Caenorhabditis elegans: one gene and its partner. The protein of the gene in region 1 interacts with the protein of each later gene in a pairwise test. Each region holds a gene or a part of one and is shown on either strand. Other genes may lie near its edges.

What was found.
Region 2: the proteins of him-17 (region 1) and ptp-8 interact in a two-hybrid assay, tested with the Caenorhabditis elegans proteins (one large-scale study listed by BioGRID).

Annotation. Positions count from the first base shown.
Region 1 is NC_003283.11:13,175,017-13,180,734, reverse strand, and holds him-17 (High Incidence of Males (increased X chromosome loss)), read right to left. Parts: upstream 4,025-5,718; coding exon 3,986-4,024; intron 3,934-3,985; coding exon 3,838-3,933; intron 3,793-3,837; coding exon 3,358-3,792; intron 3,314-3,357; coding exon 3,200-3,313; intron 3,152-3,199; coding exon 2,761-3,151; intron 2,709-2,760; coding exon 2,245-2,708; intron 2,199-2,244; coding exon 2,019-2,198; intron 1,972-2,018; coding exon 1,135-1,971; intron 1,088-1,134; coding exon 779-1,087; 3' UTR 550-778; downstream 1-549. Other genes in the region: cni-1 (Protein cornichon homolog 1), read right to left, coding at 322-402; noca-1 (Non-centrosomal microtubule array protein 1), read right to left, coding at 5,152-5,283, 5,331-5,681.
Region 2 is NC_003282.8:7,380,512-7,385,307, reverse strand, and holds ptp-8 (TYR_PHOSPHATASE_2 domain-containing protein), read right to left. Parts: upstream 3,255-4,796; 5' UTR 2,894-3,254; coding exon 2,833-2,893; intron 2,774-2,832; coding exon 2,536-2,773; intron 2,447-2,535; coding exon 2,331-2,446; intron 1,905-2,330; coding exon 1,636-1,904; intron 1,592-1,635; coding exon 1,463-1,591; intron 1,419-1,462; coding exon 1,179-1,418; intron 1,129-1,178; coding exon 1,009-1,128; intron 875-1,008; exon of another isoform or gene 854-874; intron 724-853; coding exon 556-723; 3' UTR 512-555; downstream 1-511. Other genes in the region: mob-3 (MOB kinase activator-like 3), read left to right, coding at 151-228.

The sequences.
Region 1 (5,718 bases):
TTTTTGAAGTTTTTTTTTCATCAACATAAACAAAATTTGGTTTTAGAAAATGAATTTTATTGTTATTTTTTTGAAACATTTTTTCTATTTTTTAGGAAAATCTTAAAATTTTAGTTTTTCCATGACACCCTTTTGGGTTATATAACGAAAAAAAAAACTTGAAAAAGGATGATAAATGAAAGTTAATTTCCAACAGATGTGACACGGAAAAACGGTACAATTTGAGATTTTAGCTAAGCTCACTCAGCTCTTTTTTTTCCGAAATTTTGAGAGGTCTCTTAATGAATTTCGTTCACAAATTGATTGACGAATAAAACTTACAGTGTATATCGCGAAGAAGATGCAGAATCCGACAGCAATTAACGCCAGGAGATAACAAAATGCGGCGAATGTGAACGCCATTCTCTGAAAGTGGAGCTTTTAAAATTCTTCTCGTTTCTGTTGTATGAATATAAACATTATTAAACAATAAGTAAAAATTCGGGTGTAATTGATACACGACCGTTTATCAATATAGATATATGGAAAACATAATGAACAATTCAGAAACAACGCAACGAATTTATTAGGCAGATATTGTATATTCGATTGGTGAAATAGAGAAACAGAGAAACGAAAGGGAATAAAACAAAATGGATCTCAATGTGTACAATTTGAAAAGTACTAACTTTTACCGGCTTTTGAAAGTTTGATCACGCGTAATGCAGTGTTGGAAATTCGAGAATAGTTCAAAATGAAAACATTTGAATTAAAAAATGAGGGAAAATGAAATCAAAGTCTACATCTCTTCACCTACGACAACCCCGTCGTCCACAACTTGTTCAACAATTTCTTCGACGACTTCCTCTTCCTCGATAACCTCAAGCTCTTCAGCTTCATCTAAATGATGTTCTTCTTCATAGATAATACATTCTTCTTGTACTACTTCTTCTTCTTCTCCCTCCATTTGGTCTTCAACTTCTTGAAGCTCTCCGTGCTCGTAAATATTAGGCATATCGGCATAGAAGCTGCGTCCAGTATTCTTTTTCCGATTTTCTCTGCGAAGCAATGAATCGTTTCGTCCGTGGAAGTTCAACTCGGTTTCGATCTAGAATAATACATTTTATGTACAAAACTTCGATTTCAAAAACACACCTGGCGCATTCTTTCAGTTCCCAAAAAGTTCAGGACATCATCGTAGTCAAGTCTGCCGGATCCGTTATCATCGAATGTTTCGAGAATCAATGGATGATAAAGTGGTTGAGACTTGCTTAGATCCCATACTTCTTGTCGTTCTTCATCAGTTGTACAGGCAAGAACAGGACATGCTGCAGCTCTTCGCCAGAGTCCAAGTCCAGCGTGATATCGAAGTGAGTTTCGGTTGAAATGAGATGCACAAAGATAGTGTCTTCCTGGTTTCTCAAGACGAGTAGACAGATAACGATAGATCCATGGTTCGCGGCACATTGAGTTTATCCATTTTGTTCGGAGTTTCTCGTCATCGGGTCCCGGGAATGGAATCATTGCAGTGCAATCATTCGCATGAGCACACAAGACACATTCGGACTGAACTCCATACATAAGTCGCCGTTCCGCAATAATACTGAATGGGTCAATTCCATCGGGAAAATGTATATTGCAAATGAGAGCTGGACGATTTGTTTTGGCGAGTGAAGCGAGCGCTTTTTTAATGGTCATTTTATCCGAATGAATGACAATATCGATAAGGAATGATCTTTCAGCTTCAGAGTGTGGGGCTCGGAAAGGCACCATATCTTCCACCTTCTTCCAGTCGTCACATAAAACGCATTTGCATACCGAATTCGGACCTCGTGGTGTCAAATCAAAGTCATCCGAATCTATTGGAAGAGGAAGAGCCTCCGCATCGAGAACAATTTTATCATCCTGATTAACTTGAAAAGCTTTTCTGTTGAAATGATACACACAGATACGGTAACGGGTTGGTTTCGAACGAAGGAATCGACGACGAAGCTGAAAACGAGTAGTTTGTTTCCCTGATAACCTAGCTGTTCACTTACCCAGGAAATCTTCTTGAGCTGAAACTTGTTTCCTTCCTTAACTGGAAATAGGCTATTCGCCCATTTTGTTCGAGTTTCAAAATTATGTGGGATTCCGACAAGAAAACTTTTATCGCTCATGCAAGTATCACAAAGCAAACAAAATGTCTGATGCCACTCTTCCATACGTTCAGGAAGTTGCTAAAAAGAATTGTTAAACGCAAATTTTGTTTTGAAATTAACTCACTCTGAAATCAAGATGGGACTGACACACATTAATCGGGCAGAAATGGTAAGAATCCGACAGGGCTCCTTCAGTTTTTCGTTTCTGCCACAAAGTTTTCATTGATTCTTCAAACTCCGGCGGCCAATCCATAATCTCGAGCCATTTCTTGTGTCGACACTCATCAAACGGCCATGTTCGAATCGAGAACTTGTATGGGAAATTGTTGGGAAACTCGTTTCCGATGGGCTCAACAGCGCTGCACACCTGACAGAGACGTTTCGAATATGGAATGTCTCCCATCTTCTCGATCAATTCATTTTCTTCGTCTGAATCATCTGAATATTCAACACCTTCCTCGGAAATTCCAATTTTCAAATTATCAGCAGTCGCATTCGATTCTCCTGATGTTCCAGACGTTCCTGGTTGCAAATCAGCTTCATTCAGTTTCTTCTCAACGTTTTGCTTTATTTGCAGGATAGGATGCACTAAAAAGGAAAATTTAAAATATTTCAAATTAGAAATGAAACAATAACTCACAAACTTGTTCAGCTTCAGATGGAACACTATTCGTCAGAAACTGTCGAATGTCATCTCCAACAATAATATCTTCATCATCTGCAGTACCATTTTGACTCAACAAGTCCGCACTTTTCCACATAGCTCTTTCCCAGAACATCTCATCCCGACACTTGTCCACCAGATACTTTCGTTCGCCTCGCTTGTCCGAAGCCACGAGTCTTGGATCAGGTAACGCATTTTTGAGAAGACGCCACTCTCCAAATCCATTTATCTCGAAACTGCTATCAGAAATGTGATAATCGCATAGGAATTGGGTGACTCCGCCTCGTAATGCATGGAGTAGACGGTTCTTATAAGTTTCATTTCCAGAAGCTAGCTGTTCAATCCATCGCAGTCTTTTGGCACGATTCTGAAATAATCTTTTTGAAAATTAATTGTTTCTGTGACCATGTCTCACTCTAATGAAAGGAAGCATGGTTGCAAGAGGGCCGTCTCTACCACAAAAAACGCACTGAAGGTGTATGGCATCGAAATCGAATTGAATATCTTCCACAACAGAATGTCTTCCTTCCTGAAAGAATTTAAATACATGTAAAAAGCAGCAATAAAACATACTTCAGGTCTAACGTCAAGGGGTATGAGCTGATTTCCTTTCATATGCTGTGAGCCTGCTGGGAAATGAGCTTCGCAGAATTCTCCTCCGTGAGATCCTTCACAAGCCATTTCTCTTAACCACAACTCTGCAGATCGTTCTTCGTCCAGGTTTGACCGGAGAATCCATACTTTTCGCATACGAAGATCGCCGGGTAGAACACGAAGTTTTCCTACTGTTTTCTTACGGCATACATGACAATACTTCATAAAATCGTTGCGACGAGTATACTCTTGTTGCTTGTACCGGTCATAATATCGCGCCTGACTGTGATCGATAAATCCCGTTGATTGAGGCCGCGATCTTTTCCTATTGAACAAATCTTTCATTGTAAGATCTGGGGATTGGTCTTGTATGAGTCCCAAATGAGAAGGCATGAATGGCGTTCGATATGAAGTCTGAAATTCAAATTTTAAACAAGTTTCATACATTTTTCGACGTACCCCTTGCTGATTATCGTCTTCAAAGTAAGCTCCAACATCGTTACTCTCGTCGTCATCTAGTTTTCTTCTACATTCATCAATGATAAGTTCATCGTCCTGAAAGCTTTTGTAAAGTTTATTGGCGTGTGAATTATCGAATTTTTCTCACCTCCGCTGGGTTTTTCGATGTACTTGGGCGTTTTGCCATCTGAAATTTGTATCATATTGAAAAAAAAACAAAGAATAAATCAAGAAATAAAAACAAAAGTGATTATTCTTTAAAAAAGCATGAAAAAGCAGAAATAAAAGCAATGAGAGCGGCAAGCGTTGTTGAAACATAGCTCCGCCCCTTTGCAACCCTCGCACGCGGTTCTTGCAACCACCGCGCAGTTTTCATCACATTATTTTTACGGTGGGGAGAACAATAAATTTAATTAAACAAAGAATTAATGTGTTCTGAGTTTCTACGATTAACTAAGTAATATTTCTGTATTTAAAACAATATTTTCGTAATGAAATTATGATAATTTCGTACCGGTCACCAGTTAAAACTTGAAAAATAGTGTCGCAACTCAAAATTACAAATTTCAACACTGAAAACCATAATGAAACAGGAATAAACTTCACTTCTTAGTTTCTAAAAATCTTCATTATTCAATATAATGCATTTTAGTTTTTCAAAAAACTGTTTTTTAATCTAGTTCTCTGTCGGAATTTGAATTTTGAATAAATTAAACATTCACTCGCATTTCCCCGTATTCGATAGTTTCAGAGTAGTTTTTAAAAGATAGTTTTCAATTCTCATTTAAAAATTGCAGTCATATTCATTTCAATTCCAGGCACAAATGCCAGTACATTCATCAATAATGATATGGAAGTGGATAGAAATGATAGAATATTGAAGATGACATGGAAAATGAAGTCTTGTGGGACGAGCTTTATTAGTAAAACAACAACGTCCGGGGGAACATTTGATGGATGAATGGGGACGAGATACCGCGTAATGGGAAATGGGTTCGAAAGTTTCGATGAATGCGGTTCTGGAAGAAAAATCATGACGCATCAAATCCTGGCCATGAAATGCACAGAAATGTGAATTCACTACGAGTATCTTGATAATATCACGTTCGTCATACAGTAAACGCATTTGACAGTATTAATTACACGACTGAGAGTAGATTGGGTACTTACACGGTCATTAATTCATGGAGTTGGGATCAAGAAGAAGTCAAATAAAATTTAAAAAAGAACATTGAAATGTGTTGAGAACTATGGTACAATTGATTACGAGCAAAACATGATTAAAATACAAGATGTTCAGATATAGATAATGTTCTATTGAACTCTGCATACATCACGATCACCATCTCCTTCTGCATTTGTTTGACCATGCCAATCTGCGAGTTGACAGCGAATTGTATCTAGGTCTTTATCGAGATCAGCGAGTTTTCCGCATTGCTTCGAGAGCTGAAAAAAAAACAATAACTTTATTAGCATTCTGAGTGCTAACATACCGCTGATTCAGCAGACATCATTGAAAACGGTTGTGATGCATCAGCCTCATGATCTTCATCATCTTCCATTTCACTTTCAGACATCACATTCAACTTGACACCGAGCAGACGAGCAACATCAGGATTCTCTCCACGTGCCATTCGGTCTACCGTATCCTTCAGACAAACAACCATAGCTCTACACATTGTTATGTGACGGTTTTGTTCACGAATCGATCGGCTCATATTGGCGGTGATATCATCACGCTGTTTAGATGAGTTGAGCGCAAAATTCGAAAAACTCTTCGTTAATCCACTGGACTTTGAGTGCGATAGTGGTGACATATTGTGGGACCCGAGTGTCGAATGAGCCTGAAAATTATGTATTTAGATCTCTAGGGGTAGGCAA
Region 2 (4,796 bases), on another chromosome or scaffold:
TTTCTCAAAAAAAAAAGAAGGACCCAACAAAAAATGTTTAAAAAATAAAAGAAGTTTGTCCTCAATTTTGAGGAAAATAACTTGATGTTCTTCAAAAAAAAATTAATCTGTGATTTTTTTTTCAAATAAAAGCACTTGTTTTTTTTTCAGAAAGACATGACTGAACGTCTTCTGGAGCCATCAAATCGCCGAGCTCCAATTCCTTCTGCCAACGCATTCCGGTCATGATTTTTGTTCCATTTCATGTCATTCTTCTTCTTTTTCCTGAATACCAGTCATTTTCGGTTGTGAACCATCACTGTTTCTGCTTTCTGTCTCAATTAAAGTGCAACTTTTCCATGTTCAGTTCAACTTGTACTTCTCATTCTCTCCGTATTCCCAACGATTTATCGCATGTAAACAGTATTCATCCAAATCGTTTCCCCTCTATTTCTACTTGCCTTCCCCGTTTCTTTGTTTCTTTATGATGCAAAGACTTCCCGCCAAAGTGATTTCATTTTTTTTTTTTTAATGATTTCATTTTTTTTTATTTCTCGAAAAAAACTTTTATTGAATTTACTCGTTTGAAGTAACCGGTGATGATAAAATGTGTTTGATGCGTGACGCGATTTCCACTTCAGAACGTAGGAACCATTTGGAAATAAGACGTGATAGTGCCAAATGAAGAGGAATAGGCATTTCACGGATACATTTTAATAAAAACCAAAACGTTGGAGACCAATCCTGAAAAAATGGAATTTGGAGTAATAGAGCAAAACTGATAATTTGAAATCATGTTATTTTGAAAAACTGCGTTCTAAAATCTACTGTTTCAAGTTCGCGATAAGTGGAATACGTATTTCGTTATTTTCACTAAACTGTCAATTATATCTTCATGCAAGTCACTAAACTCGAATTTTATTTTTTTGTTTATACAAAATCTACACTAACAATTCTTCACATTGAATGTATATTATCAAATAATCATTTTTTCGGGTACATCTGCTCAACAATTCCAAAATTTCTAACCTTTTCAGTTTGATCCCAATTCTGTAAAACTGCAAATATTTCCTCTTTATGCGTCAATTGATGAAATGTCGAATGAAAGAACAAATCAAGAAGACGTATAATATCTCGAAAATCTTCATTCTAAATTTTAATCAGATTAACATTTTCCTGAATCTCTCTCACCAACTAACCTCTAATTGACGACTAATTGTAGATATTGAGAGCCCATTCTTCACTTGATCCATATACCAAAAATGAGTTTTTTCATGATCATCATCATTTAATTGAGCATTTAATAATTGTTCATCGAATGATTTATTTTCAGGTAATGGCCCTTCGCATTTAATTTTCATACGGTAATCGTTTTCTACTTCGAAATTCACTGATGAATACATTTTTTGAAGTGTTATTCGCATTGCAATGTAAACTATCTGAAAATATGTTATTTATTTATTTAGAAAATTTAAATACTTACTTTAGGAATTTTACCGTATAATCTAGATTCTGGTTTACTTATAAACTTTTGATTGTATGCCACATATTCCGAAATATGTGTCATTTTATTTTTAGGAATAATCATCCCTCCATTGTTCCTTATTAGAAGCTGCAATATAGAACTTTTGTGATTGTATATGATTACGAACTTACTCTGAACTCATGCAATGTTTTCACCTGTTCCTTACTTTGAACAGCTTTTGCACGTCTACTTCTGACTGTATCAACTGCTTGACTCGGAGACATTCCCAAAGCATACATCATCCATGCAGCAATCACCATTCCAGTTCTTCCGTGACCCGCATGACAATGAACTGCTATTTTTCCATGGGATAATGCAAAATCGACCACTTTGACAATATCCAATAGACGATTTGGTGTGCATGCTTGGAAGTCGGGGAGTGGGAAATTGTAGTGATAAACTGAAGAAAAATGGAAATAATTTAAAGCGTAGTTCATTCATTAGACAAGTAAGAAGCTGTTGCACATTGAAGTTTTTCATGGTCATGTTTCTGTAGTTTCTTTATAAAATATTCTGCCAAATAGACAACATTGGGAAAATGTCGACAAAATATTTTCAACTCATGTTTAGAAGAAAAATTATTATTTAAATGTTGGAAATATTTTCTCGTTGGACCCTACTCGTTCAATAAACATTTAATCCCAAATACATTGGTAGTCACAAAAAACAGAAATCCAAATGTGATCTAGTCAGGTTTTTTTTGCATAGACGAAAAATACATTCCAGCCTGTAAGGCGATCTACATCTTTTTGGACAGACACGTGGGCCTGAACGTGCCTACTTGCAATCGAGCGTTTATCAATTCTTTAATATAAAGTTAACTCACTTCCATTTCTCATCAAATTCTCTGGATCATAACTAAATCCACTTGTCAGATTACCGCTTCCACAGAATGAATGCTCTCCGCTTTCTTGAAGATTTATGACTGATTGTATTCCATTTCTAAAGAATAGGAACAATGTTTATGAATAACAGAATATGATCGTTTCCAATCATCAGTCCGCTATCAACCAAATTGAGATAGAACTTACGTTTTGAATTTCTCCACAATTCCCAAACTGTCAAAGTGTTCAACTTGAAGTCGTGCCATTGCAAGAATATCAGATGTTATCCATGTTGAATATAAACCATCTATTGCTTGAATTTCAGTTTGACCAGTTACTACGATACAGAATCTACACCGGGGACCACTACAGTATAACCGACATTTTTGGTCACCAGGTGTGAGGCTTAGGATACCAGTACGCAGAGAAGAATACGTTGCTGACGCTGAAACGTAGAAATTGGATAGGAACAAAGTTCAAAAATAAAATAAAGCTTTAACAAACCTTTTTCTTCATCTTCTAACTTATAATTATCACTTTCACCAGAAAACCATAATTTCGGCATACTCATTTACCATCGCCTTCTTTTTCTTCTTGACACTTATAAAAGAATCAAGAGTCGCTTCCTCTCTTCTTCTTTTTCTACATTTTCTTGAAGACGACTTGATATGAAAATGGGAGGAGTGTGTAAGTGTGTATGAGCATGCTGGTTGTAGTCAAAAAAGGAGAAAGAGAGAGTATCTATGGCAACGCTTCCAAAGAAAAACGAGAATCCGTCGTTGTTGGGCAATTCAGAAGATGGAAAAAGAGAGACACGCGTTTTTCGTCGCCAACGACTTCCGGGGAACATCCACTTTACTTCTGCTCTCATGAGTTTTTTGAGCATTTATTTATGACTAATAGATTATTTGGAGTTGGTCTGAAAAAAAAAATTTTATAAGGCGTAGTAATTATTAAACTACCGTCTTTAAAGTTTGGTGGTAATAATTTGTTATCCAAATGAGCATTAAAAACTTTTTTTTTTAATTTTAACCATGTACTTTCCGTGACCCAATCGTAGACTAGGAAGTAGTGTAGGCAAATACTCATTGACTCCAAAATCATTGACTACCTGTTCTCATTGCCTACCCTTGCTCATTGCCTACCCTTGCTCTTTGCCTACCTCTTTCTCATTGAATACCTGTGCTCATTGCCTTCCTGTTTTGATTGCCTACTTGTTGCTCGTTGACTACCTTTTCTCATTGCCTACCCTTTGCTCATTGTTCAAACTGGCGTATCTCAAAAAATACACATCTGGAAAACAAATGTCCAACTAACAAAATGAACAGAAATATTTTTTCTTTCTAATTCAATAGTTTTTATTTTAATACACCAACTTTTTGTAGAGTTACACGGAGTCAAAGCTATTTTTCCAAAATTCACAAAAAATTTTTAGAACTCTTTTGTTGTACCCTTTATAACTCAACTTTCATTGAATTTCAAAAGATAAATTTTGTTGAATAGTGAGTGAAAAATATTTTTCTACATTTTACCAGTTTTAAGTTTTCGGATATTTTCATGTTCCGCCAAGTTACAGACCGTTTTTCAAAAAAATCCAATTTCGCTTATAAAAATCTTCATATTCAACGTATCGACTTGAAATTTTGAACAATATGCATTTTTTTGCTGTCTCTACAATGTCCTAAAAAATCTTTCAAAAAACACTGTCCATCTCCAAAATCGTCCTTCCCTCCAAAATAAGAAAGTGGACCTTTGCCTTCCGAAAAATGGGCGAAAAACTGAAATTGCGATTTTTGGGTCGAAAAAAATATTTTTAGAAAGCTGAGAACACGCTATTTACAAATTTCATGTTCATTTTGAGTGATTTCTTCTCTTAAACGACCTAAAAATTAAACAAAATTAACATAATTTTTATTTTCACGTGAAATTTTTTGGTAATTTGCTCAGTGTTTCAATTGTTTTAATGCAAATTTTAAAAAATTTCACGTGAAAATAAAAATTATGTTAATTTTGTTTAATTTTTAGGTCGTTCAAGAGAAGAAATCACTTAAAATGAACATGAAATTCGTAAATAGCGTGTTCTCAGCTTTCTAAAAATATTTTTTTCGACCCAAAAATCGCAATTTCAGTTTTTCGCCCATTTTTCGGAAGGCAAAGGTCCACTTTTTTATTTTGGAGGGAAGGACGATTTTGGAGATGGACAGTGTTTTTTGAAAGATTTTTAGGACATTGTAGAGACATCAAAAAAAATGATTATTTTTCAAAATTTCAAGTCGATACATTGAATATGAAGATTTTTATAAGCGAAATTGGATTTTTTTGAAAAACGGTCTGTAACTTGGCGGAACATGAAAATATCCGAAAACTTAAAACTGGTAAAATGTAGAAAAATATTTTTCACTCACTATTCAACAAAATTTATCTTTTGAAATTCAATGAACGTTGAGTTATAAAGGGTACAACAAAAG